3 linked regions of the Lonchura striata genome follow. The protein of the gene in region 2 interacts with the protein of the main gene of each other region in a pairwise test. Links are inferred from orthologs where the notes say so. Each region holds a gene or a part of one and is shown on either strand. Other genes may lie near its edges.

What was found.
Region 1: the proteins of PTN (region 2) and UBQLN4 interact in a two-hybrid assay, tested with the Homo sapiens proteins (2 studies listed by BioGRID and IntAct). The link is inferred for Lonchura striata from reciprocal best matches to the Homo sapiens genes PTN and UBQLN4.
Region 3: the proteins of PTN (region 2) and TAF1D interact in a two-hybrid assay, tested with the Homo sapiens proteins (2 studies listed by BioGRID and IntAct). The link is inferred for Lonchura striata from reciprocal best matches to the Homo sapiens genes PTN and TAF1D.

What each region holds. Positions count from the first base shown.
Region 1 is NC_134635.1:1,245,670-1,253,269, reverse strand, and holds the start of UBQLN4 (ubiquilin-4), read right to left. Parts: upstream 3,473-7,600; 5' UTR 3,472-3,472; coding exon 3,316-3,471; intron 1,475-3,315; coding exon 1,323-1,474; intron 1-1,322. Other genes in the region: ragulator complex protein LAMTOR2, read left to right, coding at 3,891-3,958, 5,184-5,346, 5,461-5,550, 5,824-5,880; RAB25 (ras-related protein Rab-25), read left to right, coding at 6,790-6,829. UniProt on the Homo sapiens protein: Regulator of protein degradation that mediates the proteasomal targeting of misfolded, mislocalized or accumulated proteins.
Region 2 is NC_134607.1:16,260,084-16,267,927, reverse strand, and holds the start of PTN (pleiotrophin), read right to left. Parts: upstream 3,579-7,844; 5' UTR 3,294-3,578; intron 1-3,293.
Region 3 is NC_134604.1:39,303,066-39,311,259, forward strand, and holds the start of TAF1D (TATA box-binding protein-associated factor RNA polymerase I subunit D), read right to left. Parts: upstream 3,313-8,194; 5' UTR 3,247-3,312; intron 2,963-3,246; exon of another isoform or gene 2,906-2,962; intron 1,114-2,905; 5' UTR 1,102-1,113; coding exon 866-1,101; intron 763-865; coding exon 315-762; intron 55-314; coding exon 1-54. Other genes in the region: BKGD (ester hydrolase C11orf54 homolog), read left to right, coding at 6,083-6,140. UniProt on the Homo sapiens protein: Component of the transcription factor SL1/TIF-IB complex, which is involved in the assembly of the PIC (preinitiation complex) during RNA polymerase I-dependent transcription.

The sequences.
Region 1 (7,600 bases), on a different chromosome or scaffold from region 2:
ATAATGCTATTATACCTATGACAGTGAGAACAATGATTCCTTGATTTTTTTTCCAAAACCAAGAATTATTCCTTTTCTCTCCCTTTCCTTTTTCACTCTTCTAGAACTTGAAAAATCAACCCTGAAGGCCCCTATCCACTGTCCAGACAGACCTGACTGCTGCTGAAAACCAGTGGCCACTGAGAGAGGCAAAGAGTGGGGAAAGCAAATGGAAAGCTGAATAAGAAAGGAAGAAGGAAGCCAGAGAAAGGGCACTTGGTTTCTCTCAACCTCCTCCCACAGGAAGAGCCTGTAATGTCTTCAGTAAGCACTTTTCTAGGACTATTATCAGGAGAAAAATGAGCAGCCCAGGACAGCTGTGATTCCCCTTTTGAAACAGTCACCAATACCACATTTATAGTGGAGACAGCAGAAACAGCATCAGGCTACCTGGAGAGGCAGAATCCAAGGAGGCTGCAGAACCTGACAGCACACTTCCTTGTGTTTGTAGAAGAACAGGTGGAATAAAAAGAAGGGGGGGAAAGCCTATTTTGATTAGTGCAGCTCCCCCAGGGGACAGCAGAACTGCACAGAGACATAGCCCTGGAGCTCCCCGGGAGCTGGGGCACGCTGTGACCAGAGCCTGAGGCACGGCTGTGAAGGGCCTTGAAATGTGGCTGCAACTAAAGCACAGAAGCTGTTCCCAAAATCCTTCCATGCCCACCACCTCTCTGGAAAGTGCTGGGAAGAGCCAAACCCGCAGGAGCCTGAGGTCAGCCCCATGTCCTGCTCCCAGTCTGAGGTCTGTGGTGCACCTGAGCCAGATCCCCACAGGGAACTGCCCGGGTGCACCACAGCACAGGGTGACCCCACACTGCCCCATGTCCGTGGCTGCACAGCATCCACTGCCTGCACCAGCCTGTGCAGCCGTGCCTGCAGGGCCCACCAGGGCATGTGTGCCTCCTGTGGCACCCCGGGGAGCCTGAGCACAGCCTCAGAGCTGAGTATGTAGCAGGAGGTGACAGAAAACCCAGGTATTGGCTTCTACAGCAACACAAACTCACTGGGAAAGTAATTTCTTTTACCAGCAACTTTTCCTAGAACTTTTGCTGGTTTGCTAGAACCAGTATACATTTCTGATGGGCTCTTCCAAGACACACACATGAGTAATGTTAAAGGACAGCCCCTCCAGGTACCTGCCACACACCATCACAGCTGTGTCATCCACGGACAGGTTAGTGACAAACCCCCACGGCTGGGGCAGGGAAAGCTCACCAGGATCATCACAATCAGTTATTCCCAGCCCCCATTTGACACCAGCCCCTCCAAGACTAAGCTCTTACTTCTGCGGAGTCTTAATGACCAAATGAACAGTGAGCCCATCTTTGATCCCATGTTGATTCAACGTGTCTCCATCCTTCAGGATCTTCCCAGCAAAGATCAGAACCAGCTGATCCTGTTTGGCTTTAAACCGTCTAGAAATCTCTTCTTTGAACTGAAAAACAAACAGCATTTTTCAGGCAAAGGACTGGTACCAGTAACATAAATCCATTCTGGGAACAGCCCAAGGAACTGACAATCCTCACAGCCCATGAAGGTATCACACAGTCACCAGCTGCTGATGATGCCTGAAGTGCTAATGAAAACCAAACCAAAGACAAGTTCTGAAATTACAAACTATGGAGTAAATGTCAGAAAAAAACAGAGCCATTCCCTCAGAAGAGCTGAAGGCTTCCCAAGCCAGACCAATTGTGCTTCAGGCCTAACCCAAACACACCATTTATGCTGAACGACTGAACTGGTTTCATCTGTTCATTTGATTTTTTTTTCCTAAGGAAAGCCAAACTCCGATTTAATACAGGACAGTGCTCTATGGAAAAGGGAATAATCCTTTATCAGCCAATGGAAATAAACTAGGTCTTCTCCAATTCCTATTTCTGCAACTGAATTCCCTGTGAGCATGCCACGGAGCATAGACACCTATTCCTTACTGTGTGCTGTGCTGGGATTTACACCTGCAAGCAAGACTCTCACTGCTGGCCCTGCCGGGGCATCCCCAGATTGATTTGGAGGAAATAAAGCCTTGCACTTGGGAAACACAAACTAAAGGGAATTCAAAGGGGAAGGCCAGCATGGAGAGTGAAACACATGGTGGTTTCAGAGCTCTCAGCCTGGAGAGAGCTTCAGTTTACCCGAACTCTAAAATCAAGGCTGGGCACAGCTCAGCCCTGGCCCCAGATCACCCTGTCTGTGTCTCTCCCCACACAGCTCCGTGGCCCCCCTGCACAAAGCCCTCACTCCACACCTCCTGTCCGAGGGGCTCCCCCCAGGGAAAGGATCAGGAGGGCCACACGTGCATGCCCACGCCATGAACTGCTGCCCAGAGATCCCTGCCAGGCCCTTCACACGCTGACCTCGTGCCCTACGCCCGACCAAAGCACACAGCCAGCCCAACGCAGCGCCCATGACACCTTGTCCCAGTGGGCATCGCCACTTCCTCGATGCCAGGACCAGCCCTAGAGCGCGTCCCTGCCAATCCCAGCCTTCGCTAAGCGCAGCTCTTGGCAATCCCAGCCCTCTCCCGCTCCCTAGCAGGTGCAGAGCCCCCCCAGCCCACCCGTGGAAGGGCCGATGTTTCCTTCCCTCCACCTCATCCAAAGCTGGCCCCAAACATCTGCCCAGTTCCTCTCCCCTGGCCAGGGGCATCTGCCTCCAGAGAAATCCCGAGGTACGCCAGGACCCCCAGGTGTCCCCCTGGCAGCCCCCCGCGCACCCCTGCGGCTCTGCCCACAGTCCCACCACCTTCCCCACACCTCCGCTCAGGAAACTCTCCCACGCAGCCCGGCCCACGGGCCGAGCCCCCAGACCCCACCCCGGTCCTTCACACCCCTCCCACTGCCACCACCCCCAAAGCCGCCCTCCGAGCCCCCAACTCCTGTGTTTCCGACACCTACGACCCCTGCCACAGGTGAGCCCCCCCGACACCTGCCGCCCTCGGGGCTGTTTCCCCTCCAAAGGCCTCCAGCACCTGTCCTCCCTCCGATCTGAGGCCCAAAGGCCCGGGGTGCCGCGGAAAGCCCGGCTTGCCCCCGAGCCCAGCCCCAGCCCAGATCCGGGTCTCCAAGAGCCCCCCAGCCCCTCTGAGCGCCCCCCAGCCCCGAGCACCTTCCCCCGCTCCTCACGCGCGCCCCAAATTCCTGCCGGGCCCCAAAACTCGGCTCCCTTCCCAAAAGCCCTTCGCCGCACTCCTGGGTCCCCCAGCCCCCCAGAGCGGCCGCCCCCGCCCGTCAGCCCCCGCCCCGGCCCCCCGGGCCTCCCGGCCTGACCCGCCCCCACCTCGCGCACGGAGGCGCCGTCCGCGATGACGATCTCCTCCTTGTCCTTGGGGGTCTTCACGGTCACGCGGATGAGCGCCCCGCCGGGCCCTGGCTGGCCGTCCCCGCCCGGCCCGGGCCCGGGGCCGCCGCCGCCGCCGCCACTCGGCTCCGCCATCTTCGCCGCCCGCCGCCAGCCCGGGCCGCCGCCACCACAGAGAGCCGGGAGCGGCGCCGCAGCGCCGCCTCGGCCGGGACGGCGCCTCCCGGCGGCGCGGAGGAACGGCGGCAGCGCGGGCCGGGCGGCCGGAGCGGGGCGCGGGCTGAAAGCGGGGCTGAGCCTGCGGAGGGGGAGCTGCCCGCAGGGCCCCGCCGCTGCCCCCTTCCACCGGCTCCATCCCCGATCCCCACGGGCACCGAGGGCCACGCCCGCCCCGTGCTCCCTCCTGCTGCCGCGGCCCCTCTGGAGCCCCGGCGCCTACGGGGACACGGCAGGCCCGGGCGGGACTACAGCTCCCGGCGTGCCGCGCGCGGCGCGGCCCGTGACGGCCCCGCCCGGCGCGGCCCCACCCGCGGCCCGCGGTGCCGGCGGCGGCCATGCTGCGGCCCAAGGCCCTGACGCAGGTGCTGAGCCAGGCCAACACCGGCGGCGTCCAGAGCACGCTGTGAGTGCGGGGGGCCGGGCGGGGGGCGGCTCTCCCCGAGTGGGCCCGGCGGGCACCGGGGTGACGGCGCTGCGGGGACGTGCTTTCCCCGCCCGGAATGCTTCCCTCGTACCCAGCCCGGCAGGTGCTGCCGCTGTCCGTGCCCCCGGGGATGCTGCCCCTGCCCGGAGGTGCTGCCTGCCCCTGTCCCTGCAGCGGGGGATGCTCCCTGCTCCTGCCCTGGGAATGCTGCTCCAGCCCAAGGATGCTGCCTGCCTTTCCCCAGCCCCTGCTCTTATCCCTGCTCCTGCCCCTGCCCAGGGATGCTCCTTGCCTTTGCCCCTGCCTGGGGATGCTCCTTGCCCCTGCTCCTGCCTCTGCTCAGGGATGCTTCTTGCCTTTGCCCCTGCCTGAGGATGCTCCTTGCCCCAGCCCAGGGATGCTCCTTGCCCTTGTCCCTGCCCGGGGATGCTCCTTGCCTTTGCCCCTGCCTGGGGATGCTCCTTGCCCTTGCCCCTGCCTGGGGATGCTCCTTGCCCCTGCTCTTGTCCCTGCCCAGGGATGCTCCTTGCCCTTGCTGCTGCCTGAGGATGCTCCTTGCCCCTGCTCCTGCCTCTGCTCAGGGATGCTTCTTGCCTTTGCCCCTGCCTGAGGATGCTCCTTGCCCCTGCCCAGGGATGCTCCTTGCCCCTGCCCCTGCCCAGGGATGCTCCTTGCCTTTGCCCCTGCCTGGGGATGCTCCTTGCCCTTGTCCCTGCCCGGGGATGCTCCTTGCCTTTGCCCCTGCCTGGGGATGTTCCCTGTCCCTGCCTGGGGAAGGCAAAGGGGCCGAGCCCTTCCAGGGGCACACGTGGGATTGAAACCACACACCCTGCACGGTGCTGGGCTCCATATGGTGCTGGCACTGTGCACAGTGTGTGGGGCTGGGGCCTTGCACCGTTCCTGATGTCTGGTGCTGGGATGCCTCATGCACAGTGCAAGGGCTGGGGCTGTGCAGTGTTTGTCCTCCTCATGCCCAGCCTGTGGCAGGTCCTGCTGCTTCAACAGGCAGATACACCACAGCCCTGCACTGGCCTGCTCGGGCCTGGGGCCACTGCAGAGCTTTCTGGCTTTGAAGCCCCCCACTCCCTGCCAAACCCCTGCAGAGTGGGAGCATTGTGGGAGCAGTTCTTGGGACTGGGTGGGGGGGGTTTGCTCTACCCCTGGTATTGAGAGGGTCTGGTTTGCCCTACCGTGTCCTTCCCAGGCTGCTGAACAACGAGGGGTCCTTGCTTGCCTACTCGGGCTATGGGGACACTGATGCCAGGGTCACCGCAGCCATCGCCAGCAACATCTGGGTGGCCTACGACAAGAATGGGCACCAGGCGTTCAATGAGGACAACCTCAAATTCATCCTCATGGACTGCATGGTATGTGGGGCTGGAGCCTGCCTGCCCTCCCTGGGGACGTGGCTGTGGTGCCAGGATCGTGCTGGGGGTCCAGGCCAAGCTGGGGTGCCACAGGTGCTGTTTCTCCCTGGGCAGGAGGGGCGAGTGGCCATCACACGGGTGGCAAACCTGCTGCTCTGCATGTACGCCAAGGAGACGGTCGGATTTGGGATGCTGAAAGCCAAGGTAATGGCTGGGGTGTAGGCAGGGCTGCATCCCTGCTTGGTGTGGGAAAGAGCTGTTGAAGAGGATTGGGATGGAAGGGCTCAGGAAGCTGCTGTGTCTGGGACTCTCTTTGGACCTTGCAGAGACTCCTCTGTCCCCTGTGCCTGCCCAGGCACTCTATCACACCTTTTTAAGGTCCTAAACTGAAATACAAATTACAATAAGCAAGTGGGCAGTGGGCACACGTGTTGCAAAACCCACCTGAGCGTGGCTCATGCCATTCTCTGCTTGCAGGCACAGGCACTGGTGCAGTACCTGGAGGAGCCGCTCACGCAGGTGGCTGCATCGTGAGCAGGCAGTGGAGGGCTCTGAGGTGCCACGGGGCTCCAGCACCGTCACCGTCACCGCCGTGGGTTGGGCGTGAGTGGCCCCATGGGCATCCTGGAGCTCTGGTGGGGTCTTAAGAATGCAGTGGCAGGAATCCAGAAGCTGGCGGGAATAAAAGTGTGTTTGATGCTTGTGTCCATTGTGTCTGTTGTTGGGGGAGCTGAGGGGTAACACAACCGGACTGGGCTGGAGGTGCCTGGGCAGTGTTTGGGAGGTGCCATTGCCCTGGGGAAAAACAACAAGTTGCAAGGGGCTGTTGTCAAAGGAGAGGGGTTACGAGAGAGCCGAGCCCCTACCCAGCCCTGCTGTTACACTGGGATAGCTGGGGGTGCTGGGGGCTCCTTCCCATCCCTATTTCCCTGGCTTTCACACGATGGCAGCAGAGGCGAGGGAACATCGACAGCCGCGGGAGCCGGGCTGAGCGGGGGTTTGCTCCTGGCACGGCTGCCCTCGCTGCCGTCCCACCCCGCGGTGCCCTCGGTGCCCTGGCACCCTCCCTGCCCGCGCTGCCCATCCTGCTGGTGCTGCTCTCGCTGCCCCAGCCTGCCCCGCACTCCGATCAGCCCTGGCTCCTCCTCCGGCCGCCCCGTGACGGTCCCAGGGGTGCCGCTACCTGCCCAACCTGCGCTGCGACACCCGGTCCCACCCCTTGGGCGCCGCGCTGTCGCCTGCTCGGCCTCTCGCCGCTGTCCCGGACCCTCCGCTCCCCGGAGCCGCTCGGCCCCGCTCGCTCCCCGGCACAGAGGAGCCTCGGTGGCTCCGTCTCCTCCCTCGGCGCCCCGGGAGCCCGGCCCGCCCCGCGGGCTGCTCGGGCTCGGCAGCGGCACGGAGGAAACCCGGGGCCCTGCGAGGGCAGGCGGCGGCCGGGGCGACATGGGCAGCGCCGAGGAGGACTACAACTTCGTCTTCAAGGGTGAGTCCTGCGCTCCGTGCCAGCCCTCCCCTTCCCCAAAAGGAGTGGAGCAGAAATCCAGGGGCTGCGGGGAGGCAACGAGGGTGCCCGTTCCCCAGGGTGGCTGTGTCCTGAGCTGGCACGTTTTTGGTTGTCCCCGCAGCTGTGATGGGCACCGGGAGCTACGGAAGGTGAGGGGACTGGGGGCCAGGCACGGTCCGCTGACAGCAGTGAGGCCAGCCAGGGCTGGTGAGCAGCAGCAAGGTCCACAGAGACCCGGGGAGACCCTCACTCACCCCAAGGCTGAAGGCGTGCAGTGCCAGGCGAATTGCTGTTACGGGATAGTGGGGCTGTGAAAGCTGGGGCTGAGTGTGTGAGACAAATGCCACGACATCCTGTGACCCCCGAGAGCAGTGGGCATTGAAAAGTCACTTGCTGCGGTGACCTGGGCAGTGGCACAGCAGAGGACCTGGGGGTCAAAGCTGAGCTGGAGAAATGGGGGCGCAGCCTCACGCCTCCCATGCTGAGCTCCTTGGGCCCGCCTGGTCTTTGCCAGGTACTATTGGCTGGACTCTGCTGGAGCTCAGTGCTCCCTTTGGGCAAGTGGAGACAGACAGGCTCTGGTGTGCCACCTGTCCTGGGTGCCCACTGCAGCAGGGTGACCCAGGGCTCACCGACTTCCTTGCCCTGCTCCTGCTGCCCAGAGGCCGGTAGCCCTGAGCCCCCTGACCAGCTCTGGGGTTACACCAGCACTAGGGAGCACAGCTGGGCTGAAGGAGTGCCCACACCAGG
Region 2 (7,844 bases):
AGCATTAACTTGGAGCCATTGAGACTTGAATGTTTTCAAAATAACTCCATTGTGCTCAAAGGATTCTAGACTACCCCAGCTACTCTAGAAGAGAGTCTTATTCCCCTTTCTCAAAACATCCATCCCTTGAGCCATCCCTGGAGTGCATTGTTGGGGCCGATTCCTTAGTGCAGCAAGTTCCATCAGTCAAAGCTCAACAGATACAAATAATATCAGGATATGGATATAAATTAGTGTGACAGACCCTAAATAGTTTTGACAGGTTTAGTAAGTATATATAGCGACACAGAATGCTATTCCTGCTGTCAGACATCAATATGTAGACAGAAGATTGGGGGCACCATGGAAACTCAGCGACATAAGAGTGGTATTGATTGGATAGAAAATGAGGCTGCAATTTAAGCTTAAGGCTGCCAGAGATGCCAAGAATGGAGAATGACCTCCAGCAGTGAATTTTCAGCATAAGCTCCCTGTGAACAAGCCAGTCCAAGAAGGATAAATCAGGGACAAGCTCACCAGGGATATGGCTCAAGCGAGCGTCGCTACCCTGAGCAGATGAGAATCCCTCTATGTGTGCACGTGTTACAGTGACCTAGTTCATTCAAAAACAGCATTTTGTATGGTTTATTATGGAGCCCTGGAACAAAGAGATTTCCTCAATTAAAGTCCTGAAATGCATCCTCTAAATGAAAATGCTTTTGATACACTGACCAGCAAGAGGTTGTAAATATCGAAGCAAAGCATACATTGTTAAAGACCAATTCCCACAGAAAATGCCACAGTTGGGAATGCAGGTAATGAGGGGGCCTGAACAGAGCAGAAGCAATGAGCCATGCCAGCTCCATCCCTAATGCCCTAGTCTTACACTAAAACACTTGTTATACCATAACACTAGATAAATTGTATTTTCCTTGACAAAAAAAAAAAAAAAAAAAAAAAAAAAAAAAAAAACAAAAAAAACACCACCCAACACACACAGGAAAAAAAATAGTATGAGTTAAATGAATGCATTTTCAGAGCTCCTGTAAAGAATTATTTTTAATTGTTATCTAAGGAGTCAGGAACAACCATTCCCAGAATCATCAAGAAGAAATAGAGGACATTTCAAGAAAGTACCTTGCCGAAGCCACTGCTGGAAGTTCACTAAGTAATAATATTCACATTTGTGGCAGAAAGATTAATCTACACAAAACATCCATCAGTACAGCTGTGTCAGGAATAAGATAACCCTCCAAAGTGTCCCCAGTGTCAAGCATATGGTACTGGGATAGCAGCACTATGTTTTGTAATCCTATAGTGAGACAAACCTTCTGCTGGCAAGGATACATCATCCACAGACTGCATCTCAAATAACTGGGGATTGACATCTGGATAACTGCAAAAAACCTGTTTTTCTTAGACCATTTCTACACTATAAACGAATATTTACCATTTGTAAAAGAAAGGTTTGTTGCTGGCTTCTCTTTTTCCCCACCCAAGAGCTGACTCGGGAGTAAAGTCTGTGAGTTTCTGTCCTTCAGTTTCACCCAAACCTTCATACATGAAAAATCACTGAAGAGTTTAGCTCAGCCTGGAGACAAGAGTTTATTAAATCTCCACATTCCTTCTCTTTAGCAAAAGTAGCTAAATTATGCAGCAGGAATTGGTTTTGCTGCTTTTTGGGGTCAGTTATGGGAATTTGGGGTTTTTTTTTACTTCAATGAAGTACCTTCTCCATGCACTTCCAAATTTTCTTTCCTACAGCAAAGCAACAAATTTTGTCACAAATACACCAGTTCCTTTTTCACTTTAAACTATTTCTCGTTATAAAAGTTCAGAATTATTTTTTTTTTTAATTCTTATTCTTTTTCAGGGAGGAAATTGAAATGAACAAAACAAAACAAACACACATAAACATTAAATTTGTTTCATAATCGGCTCAAGAACACTGCTCAGGACACACCAAGTATTTCTTTGTGACAACTTTTACTTTCCTTCTCTTTTTCTCTCCATCCCTTCCCTTTTTCTCCCTAATACAGTCAGTTACACACATCATGTAGTTCTTGTTCAAAAAGTTGAGCTTTGCTAAAAGCTAAAAAAAATCAGTGCCCAGAGGGAAAACAAGGAAAGGACATCAACTCAAGAGCTGATGACCCACAGGTAAAATGTTCCTCTACCATAACACAAGTCATTGCAAGCAAATGGGATCTGGCTAGAACACCACTATCCATAGCTCTAGGGTTATGTCACAGAGAAAGATTTAACTCCTGTCACAAACATTTCCACAGTGCTCCCAAGAACCCGCCAGTCTCTCAGGTGTACATCCTAATAGCCAGCTCCCGAGGGTACCACTAAGTTAAAGTGCAGTAGTCATTCACCACCAAGGCAAAGCCACTGGCAGCGTGGAAGAGAGGTGCGACAGCCAAGCGGAAGATGTAAAAGGAGCAGATAAGCTCCCGCAGAATGAAGATTACCTTCCTCCTATGAAAAGTTGTACTTTTAAAAAGAAGAGAAGAAAGGCAGGTAAGGAGTTAGAAGCACCGAGGCTGGAGACCATGAAACATTTGCAGAATCGCAGACAAGTTCTACAAAGAGGAAACTGTGTTTTCACCGTTGTTAACTCAGGTTTTTCCCCCAGCCTATCCGTCCCGAGGAAGGGGAAGACACGAACTAACAACGGCAGTTTTAGACAGATCTATCAGCACTTGCTAGATTTAGTTGTTTCAGCAGGAGTAAATTAGGGATAAGAAGGCAAAGTCCCAAGAAAAATATAAGCCCAAGTGTTCGGTCTGAAGGTACAATTTAAACTCCCGAGTTCCAGCCGGGACGCTCCTGGCACAGGGTAACTGGGACCCGCAGGGGGTTTGCCGCTCCGCTGTCCCTTTGTCCTCTCGAAACGGAACTGCCCGAACACTCCTGCCTCCCTTCCCCGCTGGATCCCGTCACCCACGGCCGCCGCTGTCCCTCTCACCCCGTGCTGGCACTTGAACGCTCCCAGGCACCGAAGCACCGCGGCAGCGCTCCCCACCCGGCAAAGCGGTCCCGTGTCTGCTCCCGGGCACTCCCAGACCTCACCCACCACCTCGGCCAGGTGTCTCCGGGGGCTCAGGTGTCCCCCTCAGGTGCACCCCTGCTCCCACCCAGCCCCACGGCCCCTCTGGCCGGCCAGCCTCTGCGGCATCCTGCTGGGGCAAGTGTCCCGGAGCCGCGGCAGGGACGAGGGAAGCGCTGCCCACCCTGCCCCGGGGGAACAAGCGCTGGAGGTACCATCCCTCGGGCAGACCCGGGAGTCCCCGCCGCTGCCTCGGACTTACTTGGGGCGGCAAAGAGCTCCTCTCCCGCAGCTGAAAGGGGCGAGCCGCGACCGTCCCCGGTGAGCAGCGACTGCCTGTGCCGCCGCGCGTCCCTGCGCTCCTCACGCCCGGCTCTGCTCTCTCTCCCGCCGGAGCTTTCCGGCCGAGATTTTTATACTGCAGGCAGGGAACCTGATCCGCGCTTTGACTCGGCGGAGCCCGGGCTGCGGCGAGGCGGCGAGAGGAGGGAAGGCAGGCGGGCGCCGGGGCAGAGCGAGCGGCCGCGCTGCCCCCTCGTGTGATGCGGGCGGGTCAGCCGCGGGGCAGCCGCGCCCCCGCCGCGGGCTGGGCTGGGCTGTGCCGGGCTGGGCTGGGCTGTGCCGGGCTGGGCTGGGCTGTGCCGGGCTGGGCTGGGCTGAGCTGTGCCGGGCTGGGCTGGGCCGGGCCGGGCTGGGCTGGGTTGGGCCGAGCCGAGCCGGGCTGGGCTCGCTCCGCTCCTCCGCAGCTCCCGCGGGAGGAGCGCGCCGCGGAGAGCCCGGTGGGGAGCTGCTGCAGTGCGGAGCGCCCCAGGATCCCGACCGGGCTTGTTAGCTCAGGTAACTTTCTCTCCTCTTCATCACCCAGGGACAGGGAGAGGCAGCTCGCCCTACAGCCCGACCGGTGCGGGGCTTCAGCTGCTTTTGCAGGTACAAACGTCCACCGCAGTTTTTGCCCCGGTTGCCTTTGGCTGTCAGAGTTTGAGGAGCTCTAACTTCGGCCTCGCTGACTTCCAGCTTGCCATTTTGACCACGGGAGTGATAGGCTGGAAATAGTGCTAGAGAGTGGGAAGCAAGAAAATAAATAAATAAATAAATAAATAAATAAATAAATAAATAAAAACCCACAGTGGACCACTTCTTCCCCCCCCCCCCAGTCCCCCACCCCCAGCTTTTAATTTCAATTTTAATTTCAACTTGGCCTAAAAGCACAGTGAGAACAACTTTTGCCATGCCATTTCAACACTTTTGGTCATAGCGGTTGCTGCAGTTGTATCAGGGCTTTCATTTAGTAGCAGGCTTTTCCAACTTTCAGGTTCATTACATCCACTGAATAAGAGTGTTCCCCAATCCACAGCTTAATTTAAAACTACGTGGACTTGTTCCAAACTCCAGGCAGTTTCTGTGTAATTCCCTCTCCCCAGAGCAAGTCTCTGCCTTCACTTGAAAGACTGGGCCCATTCACTGCTTAGGTCTCACCTGGGTTTGTAGCTTGCAGCTCCTGCTCCAGGTTTGCACAGAAATCCAGTTCAGATTCCCCTCCTGTTTCCAGAGGAATGAGCTAAAAAAGTAATTTGTCTGGCACCGAACACATTGCATCATCTAACACCTACCATCTGTGACAATGAAAAGCACTGTACAGCCAGTCCCAGAGCAGGCAATTGCACTCACCTGGAGTCCTTCTTAGTAAAGTAAACTAACCCTTTCCATCCACACCTTGACATCTTCTTTTCATCACACAGTTATGTGTTCAGTCCTGGCACGGCTGTGCAGGATTTGCACCACCAGCAGGTTTAATGACAGTGATGTAATTTAAAACAACAATTTTGGTTTGCAGTGTAAAGTGATGGCTTGAGGTGGAAAGAATATCCTTTCTAGCAGCTGGATGAGTGGAAAGGAGAATTCAATGGCATTTGTGTTTCAGAGCATGCAAGGCTGAATGAATGCTTGCTAGCCAGCTCGCACCTTCCTGAGGTCTTCTCAGTGAAATCCTGGCAGCACGGAGCTAAGCACAACAAGCACCTAGAGAAAAACTTTCCATCAAGAAGCACCTGGTAGTGGTTGACACTTTGCAGACCCAAGAAATTCTCCATACAACCACTATAGCACATTTCAGATGATCAATCCTTCCTGAGTAACTAAGTAGGAAAGAGAAAAATGGCTCTAAGTTCACCTTGATGGAAACCAAAACGGATTGCATCAGAATGGGCCAAGAGGTTTCTTACTTTCCTCACAGAAATCTGAGTCTTAGCCAAAACACTGCAAGCATAGCATTTTGATAAAACAGTGGAAACTTTGCAGAAAGCAACTGCTTTTCACAAAGATGTGCATGATGTTAGAAGCCTCCTTTAACCTCTAAATTTGGAAGCAATATCAAGACCACATTTGCTCCCAGATTTTCTCCATACCAGATTTTCTCCATACCTAGTTTTTCATGGCTCAGATGTTATTTTCCTGAAACTGAGTTTACATGCACAAAAAATAGTTTTGTGTAATAGTTTTGTGTGTTATTTGACTCAGAATCTCCAAAATAAAACTGCTAACAAGGTTAGCAGAGCTTCTCAGGGACAGATAATTGTTCGAAGCCCCTATGACTGAAAAACAGAGTTTCTCAGTTTTTGATTGCCAAAAAGGTAAATGTTTTTTAATGTTCGTATTATTTGTTTCAATGGCACCTTGAGGCTTGACTGAGGTTTCCATTGCAATAAGCACTGTACACATACAGGAAAAATATTCTTTGCCCCAAATTGCTCACTGTGTTGTATATGTTTGATATTAATGAGGCATAACACTTGAATTTCTTGACTGAACTTTTACCATTGAGCTAGAACCTGTTAAGACAGAGAGGACAATGAGACAGTGAATACAGTAGTCTTGAGAGGACAAATGTAACTTTTTTTGCCAAGAGAAAGGTCACAAACTATGTTATTCACACCATCAAAGGTGCCTGTAGCACTGGTTCCCAGTGGGAAACAGCAGTATAGCATGGAGAACATTGAGATGGATGGATGATGAGCTATGAACAGTTCAGAGGGATGTTTTCCTTAATAAAAGGATATTAAGGTTGGAGGAGCTTATCTCCAGATCTTCTCTGCTGTTTTGTCTCTCCTGAGTTTTTTTCTCAGACAATGATGTAATTGCTGCATGATCTCTGGAACTGCAGACCAGTCAACATTTCTTGTGACTGATAGGAAAATCCCTACTGAAAAAAATACTTTTCAACTATTGCTTTTCTACTCTGAACACAAAGGTAACCAAGAAAAGAGACTTTGCTCACAGATTGTCAGGGATACTTATCTTTAAAATCCTTTACATTTGTTTACAGTTGTTGGTTCCACTCTGATCAAAAAGCAGTGGTGAGGAATGGATTGGCAGCTGTAGAAGTCCAGTTTCTGTTTTCACGTATCCTCTTCACTACCTGGAGCAAAAATGCACAACCTAATGAGTGAGGCAAATCTGAAATATCTCTTAAAAAGGAAAGCTGAAGTTTCGGGCCAAAACGGGCTGTAAAAGGACCTTTGATTGATGCCACATGCAAATGTTCTCATAAACAATCCAAAATGTTAGATCCTAATTAGACTCTCAATTCAATCAGTAAAAAATTATGACAATTTTGGGGGAAGAAGCTCCTAATTTTAGGAATAGTTTTTGCCAAAATGCAGAAAGTACATCATAATAAGTTCCCTTGAATTAGGTGGGTTTTCTTCCTTTGAAAAAAACATAAACACCAACTTTTCTCTTTGAAGCTGGGGGTTTTTGTTACTCTTAGGTAATCAATTCACAACCCACCTGAAGGAAATATTTAGAACTTCTAACAGTAGTTTTCACTTTTTTCCAAAGATGGCCTTAAAAATTCTGACTCTAAAGTTCAGAGAGCAGCTCAGAGGACAAGGCTTTATGCAGTTTTCTCTCAAGAAGAGCTTCCCTGGTTTTGGTCCCACTGCTGAGTAGGTTAGAAGGTCAGCTGGAGCTGAGCTTGCCTTGTTTGTTTCAACTCCACTGTAAATATTAATTTCTTTCCGTGCCCTTCCCAGCCATCAGCAACAGCAGCACCAGGAAAACGTAACATGATTCCAGGAAAGCAGAGAGGAGAACTCCACGACAGTTTAAAGGTTTTTTCACCTTTTGCTCCATTGTTGTTCCTGAACTATTGAGCTGCCAAGCCCTGGCAACTGAGTGCCCTGCATCCCGACTGCCGCGCTCAGATCAGATTTCCATTAGTGATACTGAATTATTTAGTGAATGCATTGAGGATTGAAATCAACTACTTCTGAGCTGTGTACCCTCTCACTCTATCTTTCATTTCAAGCCCTCACACTATCATCACAGAGACTATCAATCTTATAATTGGAGTAGAAAAATCCATGGAGTTCAGAAATAATAATTCATACCTTACTCCCTAATATTAAAATAATCCAGAGTATAAAAAGTCAGATTTCCCAGAGGCATGTGGAAGGCAACAGCAAAAGCATGAACCCAGGAGAGTTATTCTTTCATGCACATATGCTAAAAACTTAAGATATTTGAAAACAAAGCCAGAGGCCCAGAACTTGATCTTAAGCTTCAGTCACCAAACCATGAATACATGTCGTAACGTTACACATTTGACTGACTCCATTTTCTACAAGGGGATTAAAGCTCTTCTGCTCAAAATTATTCATGTGCATACATCTGCATGCTGCAGTTTGAAATCCACAAATATAATGCGACACAGCAGGCCTTTCCAGATCCCCAGCATTTAAAAGGCTGCTCTTCATATGTTGGCTTCTCTCACTACTTTCTTCTTTTGTTTGTACTGGCATTCCTGGGAGTGGAA
Region 3 (8,194 bases), on a different chromosome or scaffold from region 2:
TTCTTCATATTTAAGCACTTCAATGTACTTGAAATAGCCCTTTGCAGCTGCTTGCTGTAGAAAAAAAAACTCGGTTAAGATCTTAAAAATCCACTACAAAGCATTTACATGTAATGTAACTCTAACATTCTATCAACATCCACATATATTCTTGCAGTATTTGCTTTAAAAGGTATTAATTTTACAGCATCAAATATCCTGTTTAACTGAAGTAAAAACTGTTTGTCTTATTTTAGTAGAAACACCACAGAGCCCATTTCAATTCACAATTTTTAGACTAATAAAATGTTTATCCCACAAAACAGAGGGCTTACCTCATAGCCAAGAACCATCTTTAAGGGAATATGTTTCTCCCCATAATGTTTTTCAACAAAAGGAAATTGAAAACCTCTGTCTAGAAGCCTCCTCTTTTGTTCCTGAGGTGAGGCTGTCAGTGGGGGCCTCCCTGTGGGCATCTGTGTGCCCTCATACTTTTTTTTCTTCTTGTTCTTCCGTGCGTAAATTTTGTATTTTCGGTGTGCGGCTGCTTTGAACTTCCTTCCCCTGAAGTGATAGGCAAAAATGGCCTTCAAATTGAGTTTTGACTTCTGCTGCTTGGAAACGTCTAATGAATTCCCTGGACTTTGGGGAGACCATGAAGAATCTGAGGAGCTTTCATTGTCAGCTACCTCTGTAACAGACTCATCTTGTTGCCTTGAAGATTGAGATCTCCTTTTCTGCTTTGAAGCAATGGAGCACTCAGGACGAGCAGCAGAGACATCACTGAAGAAGAAGAAAGTATTTACTTTCAAAAGAAGGTACAGTTTTATGACACATCACACAGGTTCTCCATGGGAAAAATTCTGAACTAGAGATAAAAACTCACATTTCTGAATCACTGCTGATCAGTAAAACCTCAGCTGAAGCTGCTGATGCTTCACACATGCTGTTAGGATGATCTGAAGACTCCCCAGGTGCAGCCACCTTCTGCCTTGACCGCTCTGTTCCTGTATTCCTTTGCCATGAGTACATCACAGATGGCTCCTGCGGCTGATGGCTGATCAGCTCTTGCACATCAGAGTAATCAGAGCCAGATGCCTGGGGTTCATCTGTATCAGTCATGTTTCACTTTGCCCCAAAAGGAAATGAGAATTGAAGAAACTAAAAAAAACTTACATTAATCAGGCAACAGACTTTACTCCACTCACAGTCACAGGATAAACTTACAAGAACAATCTGGAGCGGGTGCTTTCCTATGAACCATAACCAGTTATATTCTGCATACTAACATTTAACTCACACCCACTTATTCAAGACACTCATATCATAACTGAGGACAGAAAAAATTTTAGAGTCCTTTTAGTTCAGCTCTTGACCACAGGAAGGCAAGCATCAGTGGTCCAACAGATTGGACACCAGAGACTCACTGAGATTAATTCTGAATATTTTAACCCTCTCCCTACTAGGGTTAAGTTTTCCTCCAAACAAGCACACATACAAATAGCCAATGGATTCTCATACTTGTAAGGATAATGCAGTTTTAAGTTATACATAAATATTTAGTTCACTGTGGTTTAAAAACTTTAATCCAAGACTGTGTCACCATAAGAAGCAATGCCATTTTCCTTCTGTTCTTTTGTGAGCTGCAGGATACCTAAAATCTCCTGCTCTCAGAAATCTATTTATCTATTTGCTCACTGGTTCTCAATCATCATAGAGACCAGCTCCAGAACTAAAATGTTAATTTTCACTTGAATATTCAAGACAACACAGTCTAGCTCTTCAGTGCCCCAAGTCTATACAAAAGGGACTATAACATACAGCAAAGTTTTCCTCTGTATGTGCTTAGTTATTTTACCAGTTATTTACTAGCCCTGTAGACCTGCATCTTTTTAATTTTACTGTGCTTTTTAAGAGCTTCACAAACTCATCATCATACCCATTAATATTTCAAATGCAATTACACAGTTCAGCATCTGAAGACACTAGAGCAGAGCTCATCCAATGTCCTCACATAACCTGCAGCAAATGATCCTGAGGGTACATCAACCAAAGGATTAGGCCCAGTCAGCTTGAATTTACAAAAGGCAGATCCCAACTGACCCACCTGATGATCTTCTATGACCAGTGTATAAGGAAACACCGTGGTTGTTGTCTGTCTGCCTGCACTTTAGTAAAACTTTGGACACCATTTCTCATAGCATTCTCCTGGAGGAACTAGCTGCTCGTGCCTTGGATGGGTGCACTGTTCATTGCATGAAAAGCTGGATGGATGGCCGGGCCCCCAGAGTAGTGCTGAAGGGGGTTACATCCAGCTGGAAGCTGGTCGTAAGTGATGTTCCCCAAGGATCAGTGCTGGGGCCAGACCAGTTTAATTTCCACCGATGACCTCAAAAAGGGGATTAAGTGCACCCTCATTCAGTTTGCAAATGACACCAAGCTCGGTGGGAATACTGATCTGCTGGAGGGCAGGAAAGCTCTGCAGAGGTGTCTGCACAGGCTGGACTGATGCCAACTGAGTTGAGGTCCAACAAGGCAAAGTGCCAGATCCTCCACTTGGGTTACAGCAGCAAAGACCCTGGGGGTGCTAGCCAACAGGAGCTCAGTATGATCCAGGCTGTGCCCAGGTGGCCAAGGCCAGTGGCATCCTGGCCTGGATCAGCACTGGTGTGGCCAGCATGCCCAAGGCAGGGATTGTCCCGCTATACTCAGCACTGATGAGGCCACACCTCCAAATCCTGTGTTTCATTTCGGGCCCCTCAAGACAGGAGAAGGCACTCGCACGCTAGGTTCACGATGCCTTTGCAGGCACACTGCTCACACTGGCTCACCCTCGGCCTGGCAAACACAAAGCCCAGAAACAAAACCAGCCAAGGCCAGAAGCAGGACAACGCCCTCTGACCGCGCAGGCCCTGCCTAGTACTCACAAGGCGCAGCTCAGTATCCTTCCAGGCCTCTACCACAGCTCCGGCCACGCAGATCCCTTAGGGAAGAAAACAACCACCTAAACTGGCTGAAGAACCTGCCAAAGGCGCCAAGCACGCCGCTCGCCAGGCTCGGCTTTTCAAACGCCGGCACGCACCGATCACACGGGCCGGGGACACCCCGCCGGCAGCGCTCCCGCGGGGCCCCTCACCCACCGCCGCCACACGCCCCAGCCCCCGGGGCACGACTCCACAGCGCCCGGGCTGTCCCTCCATTCCCGGCTCCCTCGGTGCCGGCCCCCGCGGCGCGGATGGCGGCGGATCCGCCCGGCCGCGGCACCCACCTGGCCCGCCGCCGCCCCGCCGCAAAGAGAGAACAATGGCCGCCCGCGCCTTAAGTAGCGCCGGGAGCTCGCGAGAGGCGCGCGGGAAGGAGGCGGGGCGGAGGATGGCGCCATGCCGGCAGTGGCCGCGGGGCGGCCGCGCCCGGGGGCGGAGCCGAGCCGAGCCGAGCCGAGCCGAGCCGTATCGAATCAAGTCCTGTCTTGCCTTGCTGTGCCAGTCCCGGCGGCAGGGCAGGTACGTGCGGACGGGCGATAGCGGCGGTCGGTGCGCGGCAGAGCTCGGGCAGCTGCCGGGTTCCCTAGGCTTCCCGCCCGGCGAGAGGCTCCGGTTCCTGCTGCGCTGCTCGTCCTTCCCCGCGCTGCCCAGGCTCCTCCGAGCTGGCTGCTCCAGCCTCAGCAGCCCCTTCCTCCCCCTCGCAGCTATGCCGGCTTTAGCGCTCCCTCGCTCCAGGACTCTTCGCTGTCTTTGCCTGCTGGGGTGCTCCCAGTCCCTACGGACCCCAGCCTCGCCTAGCACACCTGTAAATACCTGCCGTGATTCCCCAGATCCCAGCCATTCGAACAGCTTCTGCTGCCGCGCAGCCTTCCCCTGCCCCGTACGGGATCTCCTCGCACCGCCCCAGGAGAGAAATACCGCTTCTGCCCCTATGGATGTCTTGGTGTCATCGCTACATTTCTCTCTCACAACTGCCGTCTTCATTTTTTTCCACTGATATTTCTTCCCCCACCACCTCCCTCCCCGATTCGTGTCTACCTGCCTGTAATCTCTCCTTTTTGGCTTTAAGTCTCCAAGCTAATTTCAGTTCAGGTTTTGACAATAGACTATCCACATATATAATCAATCTAATGGTTCACATTTCATCTGTATTCTCCTGGCACCTGGCTACTCTCTGTAATGTTTTCTTCCCACTTCAAAGGTAGACTTTTAAGTCTTTGCATACTTGTTGCCTCCATTCTAGTTGCACCATCCCACATCTATAACAATTTTATCATCCCTTTAGCATTTGTGTTCTTCCTTTGAAAGTCTTCTGTAGCGATTCAGTGTCACTGCAACCCTCTGTGACGGATCTTAATTGCATGCTGTTGTTTCGGGTTCTCTCTGTCCCCACACTACACAATTCACTCCCCTGTGAATATTTGCAGTGGTGGGCTACAGATCTACCCTTTTGTGTCTTTCCTGGTAAGAACAACTGCCTGCCAATCAGATTGGGTTTATTATGCTACATCAAATTTTTCCACAGTGTTTCCCTCCTTTCTTGATTGTGGGGAGCTAACTTATACTGGTATTGTACAAGTCTTGTCCCTGCCTTTTGTACAGCAGCAATTATAGCTTGCCTTCTCAGGCTGTTTTAGGACAACCAATGTGTTGAGCATTGGCACAGCCTCCTCCTGGATGTGGCAAAAGGTTCTTGAGGTGGTGAGGATTGTCTAAAACAATGCTCCCAAAGCCATGTTCTTACATTACTCCCTTTCTTGGTGCACACTAAAAGTCTTGTGGTATGATTCACTCCGCCTGACATGAGGCTTCTACCAGAGGCACCAAATCCAGCCTGCTACTTTCCAGAGCCAGAGGAGGGATGAAGTCAACTGTGGAGATAGATAGGACCAACTAAGATGAGAATTACTATACACAGGTTGCAGTCATTCTTCCCTTCTCTACTGCTTGCTATGCAGTAACTTGGAGTGGCTGAGCATTGGGCTTAAAGATTTCAGTTAAGTGACTGCTACGATCTCCCTACTCATCTTCTTTTTTCCACTGGTTTGGTGGTTTTTTTTCCCTTTATGCTAATGGTGTAAGGACAGTTACATTTTTTGATAGTCATAAAAGTTAGGATTTTTTAAAAACAGAAGCTAAATATATATGTAAGCAGCTGTCTTATACAATAGTCATTCCTAACAAAGACTCAGGTCTAGGAATGTAGTTAGGATTTTGGCTTTTTCCTTCTTCCACCTGAGATCTGGGTAAATAGGACCCATTTTATTTTTTATTGCTGTGTATAGCAAGTATGTGGTATGTGCCTAAGGAGTTAATGATTGCTGCAGCAGATTTTTAGGTAGTGTACAATCAGTTGTTTTTGCCCTGACCTAGTGGCTTGCCCTTCTAGCTGGCTTTGCTGTTGCATGGCTGACTGCAGTGCAGTTCATTTCTGAAGGGGCTCTTAAAGTCATGTTCAAAACTTTTTGTTATAGTACACACTGGGTTTTTAAGACACTTTTTGTATGGCTACAGAGTCTGATACTGCAGAATTTGCTGCTGTTGATTTCTATTTTGCTGCTAGCCTGTTCCTCTCTGGAAGGGGAAACACATGCCCAGAATCAATTGGAGACCATGTCACAGCTGCGGTTGAAAGTCCACCATCCAGTGCTGGAAAAGTAAACATTAAATTCAGGAAGACCTTAGGAGGCAGTTGATGTGCTCAGGAAAGCTCAGGTTTCTTTCAAAACTTTCTTGTGACTCCAGCCTTACAAAAAGACTCCCAAATCTCCTGACCACTTGAACTGCATTCAGCGTAGGATATGTTTTCTTTACACCCAGTTGTCAGCTTGAGGACTAGTGTGTGTAATGCTCTGAGCCAGCTATAGGGCTGACAGACACATCTTCTTCCAAAATGCATACGAAATTTAATGGTGCTATTGAAGATGTCAGTGTCTCCTATGATGGTAGAACTACAGTTCTATTTTTTCTATGTATTCTAGAGTGAAATTGAAAAATAATTAACATGTTGAAAGGAGCATGTTTAAATTGTTAAACTATTATCTTTGCTGGCAGACCACTTACTCTGCAGTGTGCTGTACTGTAACTTCTTACCTGAAGAAATCAGCACTGATCAGGAAATGGCCAAAGTCGAAAGGTTTGCTTTTCATGTCCCAAGTCTGGAGGAGCTTGCTGGGGGTAAGTAATGCAACACGTGACTTTATACATTACTTTATACACTACTTTGTAATGTACTCTTCAAACTTATCTTAAAACTCATACCAAAGTCTTTCTACAGCTAGGACATGCAGAATTCCTGCTTTTAGCACACCGAGAGGTAAAAAACAGCACTGTTTCTCTATATAATGAGATTATTTTCTTAGAGCAAACAATGAGTCCTCCCCAAGGGCCCAAGATAAATGCACAGGCTCAATTCCTTTAAAACTGCTGCATGTGCAGATTTGTGTGCAGGTCATGAAAGTTTGACCACTACACACCAAACTTCTTTACACATACAGAATTATCTGTCCTCCTCTATCCTCTAATATTTCTTTCTTTTTCAGGACTGCCCAAAACATAGCTGACAAGATGCATTGTAGTAGTATGGCAGATGACAAGATGCAGTGTAGTATGGCAGATCCTCTTGCTTGAACATAGTTGGCTCCTCCTTTTGTGATTGCCTTAGAACAGGGCTGCAGGAAACATCTTCTGTAGTTTACTTCTTTCCAAAGCCTTTGCAAGATCTACTCAGAATAACAGAATGGTTGAGGTTGGAAGGGACTTACAGGTTTGGCCCAGATGCTCATGAGCTTCTTTTCTTGCCCTAGGAGGAAGACATTATTCCAGCAGTCTCTCCCCTGCAGCAGATATACTGAAGTTTTTTTGTCTTTCAGATTGATCCTCAAGTTCAGTTTGCCACTTTCCCAGATCTGTGTCAGTTTGACATTTCCATGTGTTGAGAACGTGTGGTCCCAGCAGTGCCCTGGGTGGTTCTCAGTGCTTTTCTCATCCAGTCAGATGGGGGCAGTAGGCCAGGGCTGCTGTAGACCTCTAAGCTCTGCAGAGAACACCATGTACTTGCAGTAGAACAGCTTGAAAGAGTATCAGAAAAATTTCATCACAAAGCAGAATTTTCCCTTTTTTCCCCATCTGTCCTGAGGATCTCCTGTAAACTGGGAATTGTGTTGCTGGGAATTGTTCAGATTTGGGGTATAATTTGAAGAATGCCCTTTTACTGTCCTTGTCCACTTGCCAGAAGGTACCAAGATGTATTTAGAAATGTACCAAGTACTGGCTACTACTTTTGGTCAACAGCTTGGTAGATCTGATCTTGAGAGGTAAGGTATGGCTGAAACCCTAACTGGAGTAAACAAAGGCAGAGAAAGACTTCTGCATAGATAAGGAACCACCTGATTTGAGATCACACACTGAATGTCCTGTTCTTTATTTTGAGACACCTGTCAAAGCAGACCCCCCAGGCATGAAAGAACTTGGACCTTTCAACATAGTATTTGAAGCAGTGTATGTGAAGACAATCACACACTAAAGGTTTGAAAGTTGTTTCCAAGCGATGCACTCATCTAATCCTCCCTATTGTTTGAGTGACTTTGCAAGTTCTGAGCCTAAAAAAACATTGCTATGAAGCAAACCAAAAATTTTAGATTTGGTTCCTTATCACTAACACCATTCATTATCTGTCTTGCTGTGACAGTGGCAGCTGTCAGAAAATCTCCACAAGAGCATAAACACGATAGGCAGTATCCCATGGTGGTAGAAATTTCCAGGTTTCCAGCAGAGGCAGTTTGAGATTATAATCAAGTTATTGCAAACTGCCTGATTAATGTATGTAAAGAACTGATTGCTGTTTCAGCTACATCTTGCTTTCTCCTTTGCTCTTGAATCATATTTGACTGTGATTGTAATTGTCTGCTCTTTGAAGCAAACCCACTGCTGAATATGATTGAAGTTTTACCCATGTTACTTCACGCTGTGATGCTCCTAGTGCTAATTGGAGCAGTCAGTCAGTGTATTTCAATAAAAATGTCTTTTCAATTCTTAAAATTAATTAATGAGGCAAACAATTATCTGAACAAACTTTTGCTCCTCTCTGAAGCTCAGATTAACATAAAAAGTGCCTGCAGACATTTAAATCAATGGAATTACTTAGGGTAAGCATAAGTAATGTATCTTGCAGAAATAAAACCCAAACAGATATGTTTATTGTTGTTAGAAACTTGTCAGACTCTTGGTAA